Linked DNA regions of Drosophila melanogaster. The protein of the gene in region 2 interacts with the protein of the main gene of each other region in a pairwise test. Each region holds a gene or a part of one and is shown on either strand. Other genes may lie near its edges.

The links.
Region 1: the proteins of Lk6 (region 2) and ana3 interact in a two-hybrid assay, tested with the Drosophila melanogaster proteins (one study listed by BioGRID).

What each region holds. Positions count from the first base shown.
Region 1 is NT_033778.4:12,343,082-12,351,028, forward strand, and holds the start of ana3 (anastral spindle 3), read left to right. Parts: upstream 1-1,901; 5' UTR 1,902-2,004; coding exon 2,005-5,442; intron 5,443-5,501; coding exon 5,502-7,947. UniProt on the Drosophila melanogaster protein: Participes in the structural integrity of both centrioles and basal bodies and in centriole cohesion. Participates in the later stages of centriole assembly through the interaction with Rcd4 leading to the centriole to centrosome conversion.
Region 2 is NT_033777.3:11,761,412-11,766,128, forward strand, and holds the start of Lk6 (Lk6 kinase), read right to left. Parts: upstream 3,047-4,717; 5' UTR 2,236-3,046; coding exon 2,073-2,235; intron 1-2,072.

The DNA of each region.
Region 1 (7,947 bases), on a different chromosome or scaffold from region 2:
GCTTCGTGAATGATTAGTGGAACTCAAAGTTCCCACTTCCTATCGCAATGTGCTTATCTACATATTAATAATAAGAATAATATGTTGTTACGATTTGATTATTCTATTAAGAATGCCTTTCAACATATCGCAGTCTGCTAATTGAACTGCCAGACATTCGAATTTTGAATGCAGTGAGTGCATTATAATCAAGTTCGCACTTTCAAATTGCGGTTGGGGTGAATATTCACGGGGGGGGTGGTGACAATTTGTCTGCCCGTGATTTTGAATAACAAACGAATAAAATGGGTAAAATTGCCAAGAGCATGCTATATGAAGTTCAAAGCACTCTGTATAATGAATGGCAATTATTTTAAATTGGTTTGTAAGCCAGAAATGTTCAGTAGAGCCGGGTTTTTCGTATTTTAAAGTTACAAATAGAAATTCACACTTTAATAGCTCAAAGTCTCATGAGGCCGGTTCCTAGAACTCACTCATAATATTTAATGGAATATCTTTTATAAGCCATTCAAAGTTTGATACTAATGGGTTGCAGTGACACAAATCAAATGGCAAACATTTTCCTGGTGCAATATAAATCTTTTTTGCTTCAGTCGGTCGAAGTTCAATGGGTGGAGATGCGGGACGATAATGGTCCAATAATCGGGCACTTAAGTGGCCAATCCGATAAGATTAGCCATAAATAATAATGAACTTGTTGCTTAGCTCCCCTTTTTGGCTCAGTGTCCAAAATATTCAATTGTAAATTACTCGAGCGACATCCAATCGGAATGTCAATCGCAGTTGCATGCCATTTCTAATTAGAAAAGAGTAGACGGGCCATTGATTTCCAACTGGATGGTGAGATATACATATGTACATATATGTACGCAAAAGGTGGAAAAGCGAAGGTTGCGACCGGCGAAATGGTTTCTGGGGTGTGGTAGGGGCGGCATCGGGGCGAGGGAGTTACCCGGGCGTGCGCCAGTGACATCATTTCGCTATTTCCATTTTCATTTCCAGCATATGCTTTGTTTGCACTACGAATTCATCAAGTGTCATTTGGCACTATGTGCGTACACTGTGCACATGTATGTGTGAGTAAAGTTTGTTTGCCTCAAAAATAAAGCAAACAAAAACATAAACTTAAAACAACACAATCCAACCGATGACGTCACGAGGGAGCCTTTTTATTGTTCAAAATGGAACAATGAATGGGTCACAAGGATAAGAATGATCAGAAATAGCACTTTGTTGAAGTTTAAATTGCAAATAACCGGTTGGCGAACAATGATTAGCGGTTACAAAGCGTTTGGCTGTATTCACAATCGCACAGCTACACTTTAGAGCGGCACGTAAACAAAACGATATGAAACCCAAGATAAGCATTTATACACACACACACACAGAGAGAAAAGTCTAGTTCTCCACCGCAGCGGCAAACAAACTCTATTATTTACCCGCTAAGCACAAACTCAAGTCCAATCAGATGGGCGACTTTTTTTTAAACCTACAGCGCTAGCGTGACCGTGCTTGCCATGCTGGGAAATAACAAACTCGGTTGCGACCAAATTATCGATAGACAAATATGGCAATTTAATACGCGTAGTTTAGTTTTGGTGAAATAAGGCAAATATCAGAGGCATAATTTATAAGATTATTAAGTAAAACCATATAAATAATATAAAAATAAAACAATTAGATGAATAAAAGTTCTTCAACAAAAAAGGGATTAGGTTCAAGTAATTGTTTATTATGTGTGAAAAGCACCTAATTCTTAGGGAGCAATAAAAGATTGATGCGGAATATTGTTCGTTGTTGCTGATGCGAGGTGTCAGGTGGAGAAATACTATTTTAATAGGTTTAGTATTTTTAGACCCTTATGCAGGGAACGCACACTCAAGCAGAGTGGCAACGCCAGCCAAAATTCGAGTTTGACGCTTTCAAAAATGACATCCTAAAACGTTTGCTGCCTGGAAGAGAAGTGAAAACGAACTAAAAGTCGGGTATTATTAGTCTAAGGAAATGAGTACCAAACAGAGCCCGGCCCTCCAGCTGGCGGAGGGGCAGCTAACCAAGCTGACTAGCGAATCGGAAGAGATCCGTATGCGCGCGCTCGACCAGATTGAGACGAGATTCATCAGGTGCCTGCAACTGGGCGAGCCGATACAGTTCAAGCCGGTCCTGCTGCTGAAGCAGCTCATCCGCTGGTTCGGGTACACACCGCCGCTGGTGCCCGACCGTGTGCTGGCCATGATTATGGAACTCCTTCGATCCGAGTACGCCGAGGCGGTGATTCGCAAGATTCCTTACGAACGCTTCAAGGCCGAGCTGCAGAAGGTTCGCCGTGTGCTACACAAGCAGGAGTCCAAGCGGGTCAGCGAATTGCTGGATGATATGAATTTGCTGCTTCTCGAGAAGTACAACATAGACCGGGTGACGCCGAGCGTCTCCAGCCTTAGTTCAAATGACATTCCCAGTCAGGCAACTGAATCCGCAGACAGCAGTTCGAATCAGATTTACGACAATCTGAAACCGGAAGATTACGAGCCCTCCTGGTCGCATCCGTGCTTGGACGATGTGGCCACCATGAAGAGCATGATTGATTTGCCACGAAATAGCGTTGAGTTGCAGTTGCAGCTCACCGAACTGATCATCCGTATGGGCGACTACCCAACTGAGTACTTTCTGCAGCCACCGTTCGTATTCTTGCATCTGGTTCAGTTGCAAACGATGACTGACGGTAGCCTGATACATGTGAACCGGGCACTAATTGCCTGCCTGCGGCTGCTGCAGCAGCGCATCTTGTTGCGCCGAAACACTCTGAGCTACGCGGACAGGTTCGATCCTCCGTCACGCCCCAAGCAAGTGAAGGTGGTGAGCGCCTTGGTAATTCTGCTGGAAAATTGCATGAAGCTGATTCGTCCGTTGCTGTTCAGCTGCACAAACGACAACTGGCACATAATGGAGCTGATCGTGGAAATAGTGCGGACCCACGATGTTCTCAGCTCAAAAATTCCCTTAGTGAGCATTACGCTCATCGCGGACGCGGTCAAAAGTCTGCTGGCGTATTGTAACAGTGTAGAAGGCAGTTGCATGACCCAGCTGATGGACTCGCTCAGGATTCCCCGCCTGCAATCGCTGATCCTTAACGGCGTGCTGCACGATATGGTGGCCTTAAATATAAACTATGACAAACGCATGGACCGACGCCAAGCCAAAGCACTCATCCAACCTATAGTTTTGGACAGCGCTTACCTGTCTGGCATGCCCGAGCGCATGAAGTCGCTAAACACTCTAATATCGTCTTTGGATTCTGGACCATCACCGGACGAGGAGTTGATCAAGCTGAAGCGGGCCTACAGCGTGGCCCTAAATCAATTACATCCGAATACGGAACTGACTGGGTCGCTGCTAATCCAGAAGTACAGACAAGTGTGCCTTGTGCTCGTCCAACTGGGCAGTGAGACATTGGTAAAGCAGCTCTTCGGAGCTGTTGTAAAATGCATTCCATTCTACGCGGGCAATTTAAAGCTAAGAAAGGATGCGGATGAGCTGCTTTACACCCTTGTTGATTTGCCTGCTCTCAAACTTCGTTCACTTATATATCGTTTAATGATCAAATCCACCGTGGCCCACTTTCATTCCTTTATGAACAAGACAGTCTATATGACCGGCTGCAGCAATGTGGATCTGATTCGTCAGCATATCTTAGGCGTGCCGCTAACTCCCCTGCTGTTACGCAGAATGATAATTCAGAGTTCGGAAGCAAATACTTCGGAACGTATGCAGCAGTGGTGCCTCGACTATCCTATAATGATTATGAAGCTAAACGCTATTCTAGCTCCGCAGGATTTCAGCGTTGTTTTCCCGTTGCTACTCCCCGTGCTGCCTCTGCTGATCAGCAGGTCGGTTACACACAAGATATTGCACAACGTCATATGGAACGTTTTAGAGCCGGACTCCAGCCGTTTGGATCCGCAATTGATGCTGCGCGGGTACGTTTACTTCATGTTCCATCCGGATGGCGAGGTTAGGAGCGAGGCCACCACTACAATTGCTTACGTGCTGCAATGTCAGGAGCAAACGAATAGATATTTGCCCACCGCAAGCAACGTACCGGTTGAGCACATCGCCAACGATCTCTGCATAATTCAACCACCATTCTGTTATAGAAGCATTTTCATCAAATGCTCTGATGAGCGGTTTCAAGGTCAGCGCAGCTTGGACGCCCTGTTCCGATTACTCCAGGCCAAGGACATAAAGTCGAATATCCGAAAGTCAACAATGACTCAATTAAATGTCTTGCTACGAAACTGGAGAGCTTGTGAGGAATTCTCCACAAAGGAGGATGGATATCGACTGATTATGGAGTCTCTGCACAACGCTCTGAAAAAGGGGAACGACACTGATATTCTGCTGCCCACTGTGAGTATCCTGATGAAGCTTCTGTTCAATGACGATGAGTTTCGATTAGAAGTCGCGAACACATTCGGGGTGTACACTTTACTGCTGAGGGCTTTATTCTTGTTCCCCCACTTGGAACAGTTGCGCCAGGATGTCAGTATATGCCTGTTCCAAATGCTGTTCCAGAATTGTATCACCTCCACTGAAGACAAACTGGTACTGAATGCGAATATGGAACCCCTGATTTTGCCTGTAACCTATGAAATTGAACATAAAGTTATACCCACTGCCGTTACGGAAGGATTGGAGCTGCAACAAAATGTGGAGGCGACCCATTTCGGGCGAGATAGGGCAAAAGCTGCACAGCATTGGCGACTGTATATGGCCTATCGCGTTTGCCAGGTTCCATCCAGCATTACTTTGGAGTCTGTGAGCGCTTTGGATATAAGGGAGTCTCTTAAGATCAAAATGGCCGATTTGGCGTTAGTAAGATCCTCCGACTTAAATGAGCAGCTAAGTTGTCAGTTTATCGCAGCGGAGAATTGCAGCAAACACGAGGATCTGCAAAAAACTGTGTCGGCCATTCAGCTATTTCTCGTGGTTCTGCGAAACTCATTAAGTGATACGGTGGCTGAGAACTTGTGGAAATTAATCCATAAGTACATCCGCTTAGCGCCGGGGAACGAAGCGGATGACAAGGTGTACAAGTCCATGCTGGATCTGTGCGTAACATGCATTCGCTTCAGCCAGCCACATGCTATCAACGGACTGAGCTACGCTCTGGAAACGGATCATCATCACAGCTTCCAATTACTCCTGCACGATAGCCAAATTTCTCTGGATAAGCTATTCCTGATTTGCCAGTGCATGATGCAGCTTTTGTCCAACGAGCTCAGTGATGATTCGATGAACTGGTATGGCAAGTTCTTTATGCAATTGAGTGCCGTGGCCAAGACGCACTTTGAATTGCGCCAGCTGCAGCACGTTCGCTGCATACTTTGCATGCTGCGCTTTGTAAGCGAGCGAAATCTGAAATTTAGTAATGCTCAGTTGATGGTGAGTAAAGGATCATCGTCATTAGATATTGATTTCTTACCTTGAATTTTTGTCCGCAGAGCTACTCTCAGCATTTTATCCAATTGTCCAGCAATTTACGTACCTCAACTCAAACCGGATCCGAGTGGCAGCGGGACTGCTTGTACATAATCTGTCAGCTCCAGATCCATCTAATATATCAGGAGCCAAAGGCGTCCAGCAAGGCCAGTATCCCAAACGATGTCGGAGCTTCATATAAGGTCTTGCGCTATTTCTTAACACTTTGCGGGCACGGTGACAGTGAAGTGCGTGCATTGTCCTGGGTATCGTTGGCCAATTGGATAACCATCTGTGGCTCGCAGGTAGCAGAAATTCTGCCTCGCCTGGATTTTCTACCCGGCGGACTGCCGGCTTGCTGTTTAACCACTCTGACGGATGCCCACGAAATGATGCTGATCAGGGAGTTGGCCGGACGAGTATTTATCCTTCTGATGCCGCTCATTGGTGCCGAAAGTAGCTTGGAATTGTTGCGGAAACATGACTTACTAAAGACCGCCTACAATTCGCTGAAAGCAATTCACGACACTCCCTGGATGTTCAAGAAGATAGTTGGTGAGCGGCATTCGTGTGAAGTAATTAGCTGCTATGTTGCCATATGCACCAAAATGGTGGCCATGAAGCCAGAGTGGTGTGCCGCGCTCTGCGGCCACAGTTTGATGAGTGGTCTCAGCGATGTGATGAAAAAACTCAAGTCGCAGGCGTCCTGTTCGATTCCGCTTGTGGAACTGTGTGCATCCCAAATTTGTGAATTGTACTCGATGTGCTACACTAATAACTTTGAGTTCCTTAAGATGACGATTTGTCGAGATTCTGTATTCTTGCAGAATTATTTAACGCTGATCAACGATGTTTTGAGTTTGGAATGTCCCGAGTACATGGTGATTCCCCTATTAAAGATGTTTCTCATATTCTGCACGGACTCGAATTCGAACTCATTTCTCATCGAACAGATAAAGAATAAGCCATCTCTATTCATGGATTTCTTCCTGTTTGGATTGCATGTGAAGCTTATTAATTCGCCATTTCAGCGCTTTACTCTGTCAGCATTATCACTTGTGTTCACCAAAGCTCAACTTGCTGCGTATGATATAAGCATGCTAAGTGAGTTGGAGAAGTTCGAATTAGCATTCAGTGATCCTGATATTGCTAAAGATGGCAAACAAGAATTCGAGTCAAAAAAGAAGCAATCTGTATCGCAATGCATCTACGATGAATCCTCGGATAATTCGGATGACAATAAGCAAAGGCCAAACCATGCGATCCAGGCCACTAATGCGGCTATTATAATTTTCCATCGCTTGGATCAGCTCTTTGACCGTTACTATCTATCGAAGGCCTTAAACTTTTTGGAACTTCCTGCAGTGGGCCAGGTGCAGGTTTGTGAAGCACTCGGCGAACTGCTTAAGGCATCAACCTGGGCCGTGAAAGCAGCCGGAGAATCGAAGCTGCTTGGCAAGGTAGTTCACATTCTGGACGATTTTCTCAATGACGAAAAAATCGGAAACGCCGCCGTCTATGTGAAGCGAGTGGGACCTCACAAGGCGCAAAGTATCATAAGCAATCTCTTGGTACTGATTAACATGCTATCCCAATGGCATAGTTCTCCCAATTCTGAGATCATCCAGACCAGTATGGCTGCGAATATCGCCAAAATCCTCATCCGCATTTGGCCTTGGTTATCGCACTCGTATCACTTAAAAAAGGTTACTGTCCAGCTGATTATGTTCCTTACGGAGCATTCATTCGAAATGTGTAAACAGATATCCCTGCTTCAGTCGGGACATGCCCAATCCCTGCTACACCTAATGGCTCGCGTCGCTGACTTCGAGACCACCAAGAAGGAGATTCCAAACAAAGAGCCATCTCTGAATATGGTGCCCGCACTAAGGGTTATGGTAAACTGCTGTTGCTGCACCGAGGGTCGGCTGAGTTTGTCCAAAATGAATTTGCTGGATATGTTTGACACAATCCTTCCTGCTAATCCGTGCTCAACACATCTTAAAGTGCGACCACCTGTACTGATTGCATGGCTCGGATTCTGGGAGGTATTTTCCCGGTACGACGTAGGAGGAAAGGCTTGCCATCTTCAATCTCTTATAAACACGATTCGGCGTAGTCCTCCATTGAGTCACAAGCGGATCCTGTGCCTTCGAATACTCCGCAACATGTGCTTCTTCAATGGTAATCGCCCCCGGCTCGTGGAGCTGGCTGACTTTATTAACCTGCTGCGTGATATTTTGGAGCAGAGGGTCCAAAAAGCACCCACATCCGAGAAAAACGGGCTGAACTCCTTCGAGGAGCACCGCCTGGCTGTCCTCATGTTGTGGAAACTCTTCGGTTTCGGTGCCAAATATAAGGGCATGCTGCGGGGCACCAAGCTCTTTAAACTGCTGATTGGCCTTCGGGTGGAGATGTCGGTGGTCTTCTCGGAGGAAGAGAATAAGTACGCAGGCGTTCCGTACGCAA
Region 2 (4,717 bases):
GCCACAGCTAAAAAATAAATTTCTCTCTCAGGGCTTTTGCGCAAACGAGCAAGGGAGACAGAGATATATTGGGCTGATTTCATGAATCGGAGGAGGCTGCACGTAGGCACCACTAGATGTCCTCCTATCGATAGGCCTCGATAGAATGAAAAACTTCTCGATAATTATGGAAAATTATTATGGATCGTTGGGGGGAAAACAAGTTTCCAGCTGGTGGGCTCCAATTGACAGCGTTTTGCACTCAGTTGATTGCAGCTGCAAAATCCACTCCAGCACAACTCCTAATGGGCGCACACATTTTATATGTGTGGGAGGCCAAGCAACGAACGTCACACCAAGTGCAATAAACGTCATGAAGGTTATAATCGTAGTTTGTTCACATTTCGCCGCGTTCGCTGCATTTTGGGCACGAATACGCATTTGAACACGAGTGTCAGTGCATTACGCTCAATCGATCAGCCATCATGAGTCATTTTCCATTTCCATAACTGCCTGCACACGCTCAATTTCAATTTCTCGGTCTCGGCTAGCTGGCACAGATACTAGTGCCGTCTCTCTCACTTCGCCGGCAGCTTTGGTGGTGTTGGTGGAATGGCAGGGAAAAGGAATACCCTTTTGTGCTTGGAATCTAGTATTGCTTAAATTGATAATCATATTATGCGAATTTATACCAGTCAACTGGTCTAATTACAAAGGGTAACTATTGGTGCTGAAATCTACATATGTATGTGTGAATATATTCCTATTGTACAGCAGTTTACCCATATGGATTTCATGATTTTTCAAAGCAGCTCACTTATGCCCGATTTTATAGGATATTAGTGGAATTAGTGGATGTCAGTGGTCCAACCCAACCGTATCTAGCATATTTACACAACAATCTGTCCTGTTTCATAAGATTATCTTTGATAAACACAAAGTATGGACTATAATCACTATCTAAACGAAAACAACAAACTTCTAGTTTAACCTCCAGTTAGAATATGACTAATTAGTGGATTTAGTTGATCTTTGTCATTGTTATTTTATAGCATATATCAAATCCCACATATAATTAAGAACTTGTGTACAATAATAACACCCCCAGTGATGGTTATAAAGTCCAGATGCTGGAATACCCCTAAAATTAGGGCACATACACACTTATATTCAGCTTAATGGCCCCAGTCGAATGATGCAATGGGGTTCTCTTGGCGAAACAAAACAACTGTAAACACCACACAGACTGTGCGGGGTGGGTGAAGGGAAGCGGAGTGGGTGGTGGGGTTGGGCGCCGGCAGGCAGACAGCATGCATGTTCTCGAACATCGTGTGACGTCAAGGAAATACACTGCGGCACCCGGTGCGCAACGTGGCCCAGTCAGTCAATGCTCCCTAGTTCGTTCGATTGATTAGCAAGGGTAAACGAAACGAAAGTGCTGCCTGGCCCAGCTTTGCCGATAACTGACTAGAAATCCACTGAATGAAAGCGTAGGAGCAATGGTCGGGTCTTTTCTCTGATTGGTAGTCAGTCCCCACCCAATGACAAGCAGAATAATACATACATATGGTTAGGAACTTTAGAGGAAGTATAACTTCCGATACAAAATATTACATTAACGTATATCTTTTTTTTACCATTGCATTTTAGCAGAAATATCCTACAAATCGTATTTTATAGGTACAACTTTAAGAAGCAAAGAACGTTTGTCACATTCTCAAAATAATAATTATATGCTTAAATAAGGCTTTTGTTTTCTTTTGGCATGCAAATAACTGTTGCCTACGAAATATACTTTATATTTAGGCAATACAACAATATTACGACAGAGATACAGGTGAATTTCCAATAGGTAGAAGTTCAAATTTATACGAAAGAGCTGCCAAATTCACAGTCAGAGCAAATATTTGCAATTATTTCATCATTCTGTTAACATGTTGTCTAGTTAAAATTAAACTGGTGACACACGAAGCGCAAATATGCGAAATCTCTTCAGAAGGTTTCCAAAATATATCTCATGCATCACAGTTTGCTTCTCAGCTATGGGAATTTAGTGTCAAACTCCCAGAGTTCTAGAAACTCAAATTGCTCACCTGACTGACTCTGGCTGCAGCTGTTGTCCGTGTTGCTGCAGGAAATGCCGCTGCCACTCCGGATGCCGCTGTCCCCAGATCCACGGGGGTGGTTGTTGTTATTGTTGTTGCTTGCTTTCGCAGCAGCGGCAGAAGCAGCTGTCCCGGACTTGGGCTCCACCATGTTGTTGCTGTTGTTGTTACTGTACGGTGCTCCTGGACGCGATTAGAGTGAGACAGGCAGAGTGCTTACAAGCTGGAAAAAGGGTTTACGGTGCAACAAATGAGCAGCAGTTTTTCTCAGTCTCTCGTGCTCTTTCCTCTCTTCTCGTTCAGTTCATTCAAAATCAAAATGGTGGCCGCCTATGGGATTTTTGTGTTTTTAATACAATGCGGCGGTTGATGAAAAAACTGATTCAATTCTGCTGCAGATGCTCCTCTCTCTCTCTCTCTCTATCTATCGCTCTCCGCTGTTTATTTATTCTTGGTTTGGTGGTTGAGTCGTCGTTGGTGTGGCTGCTGTTGTTGTTGTAATCGATGGCTGCTGCTGATTTCTCTCATCACACAGGCGAAAAAAGCTCAAGCAAAAAATGGGGTTTATCTATTTGCACCGCTTTTTTCGGTTATCTGCGATATTTTTTGTTTTTTTCTTCGGGTATTGCGATTTTTGCGTTTCACCTCTTCTTTGTGGGCTTGGTGCAGTAGTGCTGTTGCTGTGGTTGTTGCTCTTGTAGTTGTTGGTGAGATGGTTGTTGTAGTGATGGAGGCGTTAATTTAGTTCTATTTTATTTTCCGGAGCTGCTGGAGATGGCTGGTGTGGCGGTGGAGTTGGTCGTTAAAATTTCCTCTGCTGATTACAACACAAAAAAAATCGCTGAATAGCGGACAAAAGCCGTTTTCTTTGCGTATTTCGCTTTAAGTTTCCTTCCCAGCTACCGATCCATTTTCAAAGTTCGAATGATTCCGACGAATGACGACGAATTCATCCGTGTGGCCGGAGGTACCATTTTGGTAGGACCGTTTTTCGGGCCAACGAAAATACCACAAGACGGCAGCGACACTAGGGTTTTTTGCTTCAAATGTAGTATGGCTACGCAACTCACATATGGTTGAGAACTTCGCTGTTTATTTGGTGGTTAAACTAGCTAAATACAATAAGAGTGGCAACGCCGTCACGTTTTCTACATGTATTTTACTTGGCGTAGTGCGCCAAGCTTATAAACCACAGTTGGGCGGTTCTTTTGAATTGTTTAATTTACACCCCACTATGAAACTTATTAGCCTTCTTTATTTATTTTATATTTTATTTTTGGGAAGAATACGTTTACTCAAGGTTCGCAGCTTGTCAATCAGTATTCGCAAATATCAATAATAAAAGGCATCAATTTTCCAATCAGCAGTTGAAAAGAACTCCCCTCGACATTTGAACAAAATGCATTTTTGGGTGATTATAATTTATTAGAATTTTTATTGACTTAAGGTAAATATAAATAAAATATTATTCAAGTACAAAGTTATATATACTCATTAATATTATTTGATTCAAGTAAATATATTTCAAAGTGGCGGTGTTTTATTATATCATTTTTCAATTAAGTACAATTTACTGTTCCTGCTCTATTTCTATGGGTTCGCAGAGAGTCCAAAAGTACTCTTAACACTCGGTCCTGTAAGGTGTGTATAATTTTCGGGCAGGCCATTTTCGGATTTGGCCCGACCGGAAAATATTGCGAGCCATTGACGACGCACCTGCAAGTTTTAAACCTGGCTTATTGACTCGTGATTTCCTCGTCTTTGAGACCCGGGGATCGAGTACTTGTGGGTACTTTGCGAACCCGGACTTCAAACCTTGCCCATGCAACAATTGTATCTTTGTGTAGTTTACGTTTAATCAATGAATTTGGATCACAAACAGTAAATACGTCTTTAACGATAATTGCAGTTGAATTAAACATATTAAGATAAGGGTAGTGGGGTGGGGGTACCTTTGTTTTAATTATAAAAATATTATATCTGCATTTTACATGTTTTTGTTTCGCTACTATCGTTTTTGCTCGAAATTACATAAGTCCAGCCTTAAAACAAGTAATTTTCGTCACCAATCGCATTCGCGCACGCTCCATTATCCATAACACTCGGTTTCGTCATCAATTCAATTCAATTCAATTTTGCATTTAAACGCTACGTTGCCTTAACTTCAGTCCTTTCGCAGAAAATCTAACCCTTAAATGTATTTAGCTCTTCGCCCGTCGATCCTTTTTCTTCCCTCCTTCCTTCCTTCACATCCCCCGCATGCTGCAGACACTAAACATAAATTCAATACGTACAGTTTCAAATTGGATGCGCGGCATCGTATCGTCGTTTAATGTAAAAGGTGTAATGCTACGCGCCCTTTTCGTCTGATCCTTGCCCTAAATGCCATCCTAGGGTATTAATCCATCCACCTCTAACTACAATTTAACTTCTCTTTGGCCGCAAACCCCCCGCATTACTTATTTAGCTCCTGTAAATATGAACTGCTTATGTTTCGCTTACGCTCCTTCGATCATTTTTGTGTTTGCTTTTGTTTTTGTGTTTATAATTTATTTAAATGCACTAAAAGTTGCACGGACCGTTTGCCAGCAGCCTGTGAAGTCGATCGTCGTCGGTTCGGCTGTGTTGCGATC